2 linked regions of the Coturnix japonica genome follow. The main gene of each other region encodes a partner of the protein of the gene in region 2 in a complex. Links are inferred from orthologs where the notes say so. Each region holds a gene or a part of one and is shown on either strand. Other genes may lie near its edges.

Region 1 (4,473 bases), on a different chromosome or scaffold from region 2:
ACAGCAGAGCTGTGCTTCATAAGGATACTCAAATGATCAAGCTGGAGCTATTCTTATGTTTTGTTGTTGTTGCTGTTGTTGCTGTTGTTGCTGTTGTTGCTGTCTTTGTCTTTTTTTTTTTTTTTCCCCTTGTACTATTGAAGACATTTAATCATAATTGGAGAACATATAGTTTTAACAAAAACATAAATAACTCCAGGTACTTCATGTCTGAATAAGCCTGTGTTTGTATTAATAAGAAAATAATTTCCTTATACTGCTCTTACTGGAGGCATCACCACCTGAAACTGTAGCCTGCCAGCATCTGTGGTCGATCAGATGCATAAAGAACTGTGGAACTTTTGGATGAGACTCAAGAAAATTTCTCTGACACTCCTTAAACATCTGAGACACAAAAATGTAAATGCAGTCAGGACACATCCTGACCTCAGATAACTCAGGCAGTTAAGCAACTCTCAGACCTCAGCCCACAAACCTCCTTGGTTTCAGCAGAACAATTCAGGCAGAATGTGTACAGATATTCTCACAGCCTCGTGAGTTTCAATGATTGCTTTCTAAACTTCATATCAGTTAAGCGGGTGAGTAAGAAGTCACACAAATAACATCACTGACTCTTGTAGATAAGTAAATTATGCATATCTTTGCAAAATCAAGTTCTATATTTGCATCAGTTAAAGACCACAAGTAGGAAACGAAGGATGAAAATGCTTTAGAGAGTAATACTTTACCAGCTAGACAAATAGTACTTTCCACAACTTCCAAGACCCGTATTGTCCACACATCTGAATTCTTCCCCCCCTCACTTGTCACTCCTGCCAGTCTAACACATCCTCAACTAGGAATTGCCTTGTTGTTCTTTATTTGGAATTTTATTTTTAAAGAGGGACCAGAAAAACAAGCAAGCAGCCTGCTTGGCTGGAGTACCTAAAGCACAGCTGATGTGGCTGGAGTTTGGCGGCACTCTTCTCCAGTCAGTCTGCACAGCAGCATCACACACAACAATGTTTTTTTTCCTGAGCATCAAGACAAATGGGACAGGAGGGGAGCAGCCAAGCTTCTCGCACCTATGGGCCTGGCAGGGAGCTCCTGGTCCGGGGCAGCTGCAGGGGTTGGAAAGGAAGAATCCCTCAGAGGATGAAGTACAAGCACAACAACACTCATCACTGACAGAAAGGAGCTCGCTGTGAACTTTATTTATGAACTTCCTAAAGCCAGGGAGAACCTTCAGAGAGACAGGGAGAAAGGGGCCAGGGGGCCCCAGCGTAGCTACCCCAGAGTCCTGCGGCCACAGAGGAGGCAGACAGGAGCCGGGGGAGGCAAACCAGAGCGGAGACCGGGCCTCAGAGGGCTGGCGGTGGAGCGGGCGGGAAGGTGCAGGCAGGGCTCGGAGGAGGGCGAGCGGCCCGGGCCGTACGCGGCCGCATCAGCAGAGCAGTGCCTGCAGCAGGCGGCGGCCATCACGGGCTCGCCACCCCCGTGCGCCCCTCGGAGGACGGAGGGGTGGGGGCAGAGGAGGCGGAGGAAGCGGCGGCGGCGCCAGGAACAGGGAGGCGGCGGCGGCGCGGCAAAGGAGGGAGGGAGGGAGGGAGGGAGCCGAAGCCGGGCCGGGCCCCGCAAGAGCAACAGCGACGCCCAGCTCCTCCTCCTCCGCCTCGGTGAGTCCGCTCCGCCGCCCGGAGAGGCTGCTCGCCGCCCAGCCCGGATGCCGGCTCAGGCCGGGCCGCGCCGCCGAGGTGCCCGAAGAGAGGCCCGAGCCGCGAGCGGGACACCGCGGCCTCCGCTGGGTGAGCGTCCCCGGGGCAACGGTGCGCCCTCCCCCCACTCTTTTTCCTCCTTCCTTCCCCCGGTGGCCGCCGATGGAGAGCCAGGGATGGGGACGGTGCGGTTCTTAGCTTGCCTGCATCCCTCCTCCCGAGCCCCGGCCTCCTTTCCCTTTGTTTGCGCGGCGCTCCGAGCTCTCGGCGGCGCCAGGCCCTGCGGAGGCAGCGGGACTGCGGCGCGGCCTGCATGGCGGGCGGGGAGCAGCCGGGCCGGGCCGCGGGGCCACTGCACAGCCCCCGCCTGGCAGCAGGGGCCGCCGCCGCCGACCTCCCCACGACCCTGCGCCCACCTCCCCCGGGCCGCTGCTCCTGTGCACCCGCTGCTGCTCTGTGCCGTGACCGGGGGGCGGCCGAATTAGGCTGCTGGCTGCTTCCTCTCCCCATCCACCCACCTTCATTTTTAGGTTTGCAGGGGTCTGCTGCTGGGCAGGTTGCCAGGGGTGTCATTTTGTGCTACTGTTGTCGGGGCTTCGCACTGTGAAGGAGCTCCGGGGAAGGTGAAGCTGTAAATGTCATGTTATTGTTAGCTGAGGGTATGCCAAGGGCTGTGTAAGGGGTAAGGGAAGTATTGTTAGCTGTGACAGGCAGCACTTACAGGCTTAAAAAGCTCAAGACTTTTCTAAATTTATTTATTTATTTAAAATCCAAACAACAGGTAAACAAACAGAAACTTTATTAGCTTTCATTGTTTTTCAAACTGTCTTTTCCACTCTCTTTCCCTAATGGTGTAGCTTTGGTCTGAAACAGCTGGTTCTGGCCCATGCCAACTCTGTTGTCTAAGAAAGACCTTTCCAAAACCCTGAACTTTTGAGATGTAGAGAATGGCGCCGTGTTGTGAGGTGCTGTGATTGTGTTTTTTCCCCCTTAATTCTTTCATCATTTCTCCCCATATTTTTAGAACTGTGATAATGTACAGCAGAATATTCTTTGGAATGGGAAAGTGTCTCATCCAGTTACTACACTCTCCTGCCCTTTCACGATGAGGTCTCAACTCCTCTTTCCTGCCTGCCAGTAATGCTTACACCACATCCAACCTCTCAGTACACCTGTAGTTAAAAATGCCTTCTGTAGGCCTCCTGTCTTAGGAAGCTGATTTCTATAGAAGTACTTGAGGAATAATCCTTCTGCATTTCTGCCATGGCTGGACGCTATTTTTGTTTCATGTCAATTAGCCCATCCTTGGATTGTAGAAAATATGTAAGCTTTGGCATAGTTATGAGATAAATTACTCTAGCTTGGCTGGAAGACGTAAGCCACAGGAGAATATCTAGGTATTTTTGGAGTCTTTTACAGCGAGAGAGTAATTGTAGCTCATGCTTTTCTGTCTAAGTTACTAAGGCAGATTTCAGCTTTTTCAAAGTGCTTGCTTTAATGAAGTTTTCACTTCTGTCGTATATTTCTTGTTATGTGGCATCACGCTAAGTTTAGAACTGAACTTTTACTTAAAGCAGACTTACTTCTTGTTGTCGTTATGTGGATATATGCATTTACTAACTTCCCCAGAAGCTTCCATCTATAGGTTAGTAGAGAAGTAGCGCTGTATTGTTACCCAAGCTTCTGTGAGTTTCTTCATGGTGCTGGATATGTGCAACTAAGGGTTCTTGTAGACTAAGTTACAATGTTGGATTATCTTAAAAATTGACATAGTAAAATATGAAAAAAGATACTGGCTTATACCATGCTGTTAATTTGTTTCTTCCTGGGTTGTTCAGTAGGTCAATCAGATACTTTGAGTTACACCTAGAAAAGGAAGTTCAGACAAAATAATAACTTGGTCCAGGTTGCTGTGCAGGTAGTTCAGATTACTCTGCTTATTGCAGTGATGAGGGGGTGCGAGAGCAGACTCTTAATTGAGAGTTCTTCAGAAGCAAGTTAATTTCTTAATATTTTTATGAAAACTTCTGTAGTTGTAGGATAACTTAGGGATTACTGTCTGAAAGACTTGTTCCGGTAGTGTTGCCTTGAATTGTCTACATATTTGCTGCATCACTGCTGGCAAAACTGAGGCCATAGTTCAGGGTAATTCATTACGTGCTGTATTTGCTGTTACTTTACTTCCTCCCTGGGCCTACATAGTACTGTTTTGGTAGTACAGCGTGCCATAGGAGGTGAATGATAGAAAAGTAAATGGAAAGGAGTTTGATCTTTGCTGGTGTGTCTTGGCTTTAATGTGTGTTAGCAACAAAGCAGAGGACGGCTCCATTAGCAACAAAACAAAGAAGCTTGTGATGCTGCTTGGAGGAATATATACTACAAATAGTATAAAAAAAAATACAGTCTAACTTGTAAGTGCAAATACTGAAGTTTATTGAGTGGACAGGGTGGGGACTGAAAAGCAGAGTAGAGTTCTTATGCAAATTGACTATATATTTCAGTGAAGTGTAAGGGAAACAGAGAACTTTGTTTCCTTTTTAAAATTATTTTTATTTTATTTTATTTTATTTTATTTTATTTTATTTTATTTTATTTTATTTTATTTTATTTTATTTTATTGTTAAAGAGAAACAGCAATATTTGGTAATGTTCCTCATCCTTATTCTTTTGCGTAAACCTACTTTCATCCCATTTTAATATATGCTTATTTTCTGAAAATACAAATAAGTCTTCAGATGACCATAAATGCACTTGATGCAAAGCTCCTAAGTTGTTATGA
Region 2 (3,676 bases):
CAATGGTTCAAATTAAATCATGTACCAACCTTGCTGATGCAGTACGTACACCAGCATAGGTCTGGGTCTGGAGTCAAAGATTTCAGTACTGCAGTAACTAAAGCAGAGGGTATCCCCTTAGGAATGTGGTTCTTGGCCCAGCAAGGGAATTACTACTTTCTCTTTTTATGGCTTCCAAATCCAGACAGTTCTAGGTATATAATGCAGTTGCCATTCATTTTTTTCAGTCTAATGGACATTTGTCCAGTTGTGATTTCACTAAGATAGACATCACAAAATGCAGGTCATTAATTGCATTCCATACCACTAGGAAAACAACATGATACAATAGAACTGACTCATTAAAGAAGTTGCAAATTTTCTTCAGCATAAAGCTGCATCCAGGCCATTATCCCATATACCATATACCCATATTATACAAGTAAAGAACTTTTCTAATGAAAAACCATCAAGGTTTTCTGTCACATATGTGAAATATATTTTAGAATACCCAACCTGACCTTTGTGTGGCCAGACATCAATATTTTGCTTCAACCCAAGAATTTATTAAGACTTACATGAAAATACTCCATCTTAACATAGTACACATCGATAGCATCTGAATACATATTTACAGATTTATTTGAACTCTTCTGAACTGCAATTCTACAACCGAGCAACATATCCATAAGTGTTTCATAAACTTTTGAACACTTACATATTTATACATATAGTTTTTGCATATATATATATATATAAAAATATTTTTGAGACTCAAGGACTGAGAATAGTCAAAAGGACATTATTGCTACATTTCCATATTTACAAAAAAACAATGCATAAAACCATTCAAACACTAAGCCATTGCAAAATAAGTTTCAATCCCCCCCCCCCCAAAAAAAATTATAAAAATATAAATTTTAAGAAAGAAAAAACCCAAACTTTTTTTTTTCAGCTAAATGTCCATAAAGTACCAAGACATCTATGATTATAAAACTAGTTTGTCTACAGTTGCTCTGAAAGCCAACACACTACGAAAGAGCTTTTATAGCATTAAACTGAAAACGCTCAACAACAAGTATGCATAAGAGTGCCTCCAAACAACTGACTAACTTTGGAAAGGTGCAACAGCCTAAGTAAGTTCAGTGCAAATGGTTACTTCTTGACTAACTCTGAAAGATGAATTCCTGTAACAATAAACCAAATGCACAGGCATACAAAGAGTGCGGTATTCAACACTACCTAAAATGTACTACCAGTGTGTGTATTTACAATTGTCTTGCATTTTGGGCAGTTAGTTACACATTTAAAATGCATGTAAACTCAACCAAAATCCTGGTAAAACATAAGTTACAGAGTGCTTAAGTGCAATGTAAATAAATAGGTACTTAAGTGGTACTCTTTGTCTCAACAAAATGCTTCTCTTGAGGCATTCATGAATTTAATGGTGACAGAACAAAGGTTAAAAAAAAATAAAAATAAAAAAACAACAGTGTTTCCAACAGGAAGAAAAGGAGTTATAAGATACTTAAGCACAATCCCAGGCCAACAGAAACTGACCCCACAGCCTCTTATGTGCCACCAAACAAGACTGAAGGTATTCACTGTTCTATTCCATTTAAAAATTCAATGCTTCCCAGTTAAGTTCTGCTTCAGGATCTCAGCACTACTACAGAGATAGATAGAAAGATGTAATGACTTGTGGGAGGAATAGCCTTTTCCTGAGTGCATTATCCAAGCCAGCCTATGGGAAATGTTCACCTGCATATCACAAGATAAGCAAAGGGCCCTCAGGACAGAATTTTTTGCTTCTGCTCCTGCCAAGATAAGATGTCTCGTTAAACGGCCTCTGCTCCTCTGACATTCCATTTACTATAAGCAACCCTCCTACTGTCATTTGACCAGCTCAGTAGGGCCCACCTATCTTTGGTGAACGCATTTGGACACAGCTTTTAGCAAACCAAGCATCTCATCCCTGCAGTCCTGACTGTGGGGTATGGTCTGTGGTGGAATGCCATTGGGATGTGGTGCAGGTACCCAAAGAAACCTGCTGACTGCTCTGCACTGCTGAAAGCCCAGGTAGGAAATCAAGACTGAGGTCTTTCACTTCCAGAACAGCTTCACGCCCCAGAACCTCTGTAAGTTCTCTGTTGTGGTGCCCATGTCCACCCCTTGGCTGCCCACTTCTTGCCCAGGGACTCACTGTCCCTCCTGGCCTCCAACCTGTGGTGTCTGCCACAGAAAGCCTCTCAGGTGTGGCTGGATATGGAAAGGGGTTTGCAAAGCACTTTGCTTTATATCTGTTTATTTCTTAAACTCAACAAAACAAAATTAACTAGAAAATGACTACACGCTTTCCAAGCATGGATCCAGAGGAGGACCGCTGCAGATTTGGTTTGATCTGTAGTCATCTCATTCAACACCCTGGCCCAGGGTCTCTTTTGTGGTTTTTTGTTGTTTTTCTTCTCCACATCTGGCTCTCTACTGCAAATACACACAATATAGCAAAATATATACAGCTTCAGTTAACATTGCAATGATGCCTGTAACCGTGCTCAGCACATTAAGTTTATGTGTAACAGTGTGTGGTAAAGGACAGTATTACAACATTTCAGCTACACGGTGGTAGTAGTGAGTAAAAGTAAAAGAAATAGAAGTCCTCCCTCTCTCACTCCCTACACAATACAAACAGCAAGTACAGCTGGGCTCCTCTTCTTCCAGATGCCACTCAAACATCTTCGCGTACCAGAAGGGGCTGAGTAGATGAAGCGCTGCTACCCACTGAGTTAATCCTCACCGAATGATCTGCAGCGTTGCCTTGACTGGAAGGTGGAGTGGAAAAGTTTGCATACACCTGCAGAAGCCAAACACTGCTGTCAAAATACCCGGCAGATGGCCCAATCCTTTCACACCTCAGTGAGCCATCTCCCTCTCTGTGCTACCTGACATGAAGGGCACCCGACTCAGGGGATTCTTGACAAACCTAAACACGCTGCTTCAACATGTTGTGGGCTTAACAGCTCTTTTAAGAGTCAAGAATCTCATTCTCATTGACTAAAAACACTTCATCTTACAACTGCACTCTAAATTTAAACTGAGCTTGAAAAAATACTCCTCCGATTATTCCTAAAATGCCCCCAGAAAACTCTCTAATGTTTACTTCACACTCTTCATTTTTGTTTTAATGATGCCTGCACCTGCTAAAAATACGCTACAGGATGCAATCGAACACCAGCAGCTTTCAGTTTCCTCTTTCTCAGATTGTCAGGAAGCCTTACACTCTACCCAAACACGACATCTAGAAGGTGAAAGGAAGCCTTATTTTTAAACCGGATCTTGAACTTGCTTTTATAAAACTCAGTTGCACACAGTGTTACTGTGAGAAAAAATCCAAGTCTGCTGGATCCGCTTTCTCTTTGAACTCTTTTGTCCAGTTACCCTCTGGACAGGCTTTTACTAGAGAATGGTGGAAAGAACAGTGAATGTACACTTGATCACAACATTCCTCCAAGCTTAAATAAATACAGCTAGATGAAGTACGTAGCAAGAGGTAGGAGGGCACCAAAAGCTCAACCTCTTCCTCCAGGAAAGCTTTTCTAAGTAAGTATACTAAATGTCTGAGATTCTTCTCAGACTGACAGATTTCTTTTTCATGGTTCAGATGAATCAAGGCAGTACCACTGCATTGTATAACATC

What was found.
Region 1: the proteins of KIT (region 2) and SOCS6 are in contact, whole or in part, in a crystal structure (PDB 2VIF), measured with the Homo sapiens proteins. The link is inferred for Coturnix japonica from reciprocal best matches to the Homo sapiens genes KIT and SOCS6. Residues at the interface, in NP_000213.1 of Homo sapiens: Asn566, Asn567, Tyr568, Val569, Tyr570, Ile571, Asp572, Pro573, Thr574; in NP_004223.2 of Homo sapiens: Arg391, Glu395, Arg409, Asp410, Ser411, Ser412, Asp413, Ser419, Phe422, Thr428, Leu429, His430, Thr431, Arg432, Phe442, Tyr443, Glu444, Gln445, Val448, His460, Asp464, Ala469, Phe470, Cys471, Tyr472, Ser473, Arg474, Ser475, Arg476, Thr482.

What each region holds. Positions count from the first base shown.
Region 1 is NC_029517.1:84,341,585-84,346,057, reverse strand, and holds the start of SOCS6 (suppressor of cytokine signaling 6), read left to right. Parts: upstream 1-1,577; 5' UTR 1,578-1,655; intron 1,656-1,675; exon of another isoform or gene 1,676-1,805; intron 1,806-4,473. UniProt on the Homo sapiens protein: SOCS family proteins form part of a classical negative feedback system that regulates cytokine signal transduction.
Region 2 is NC_029519.1:58,881,709-58,885,384, forward strand, and holds the end of KIT (mast/stem cell growth factor receptor Kit), read right to left. Parts: intron 2,834-3,676; coding exon 2,708-2,833; 3' UTR 595-2,707; downstream 1-594. UniProt on the Homo sapiens protein: Tyrosine-protein kinase that acts as a cell-surface receptor for the cytokine KITLG/SCF and plays an essential role in the regulation of cell survival and proliferation, hematopoiesis, stem cell maintenance, gametogenesis, mast cell development, migration and function, and in melanogenesis.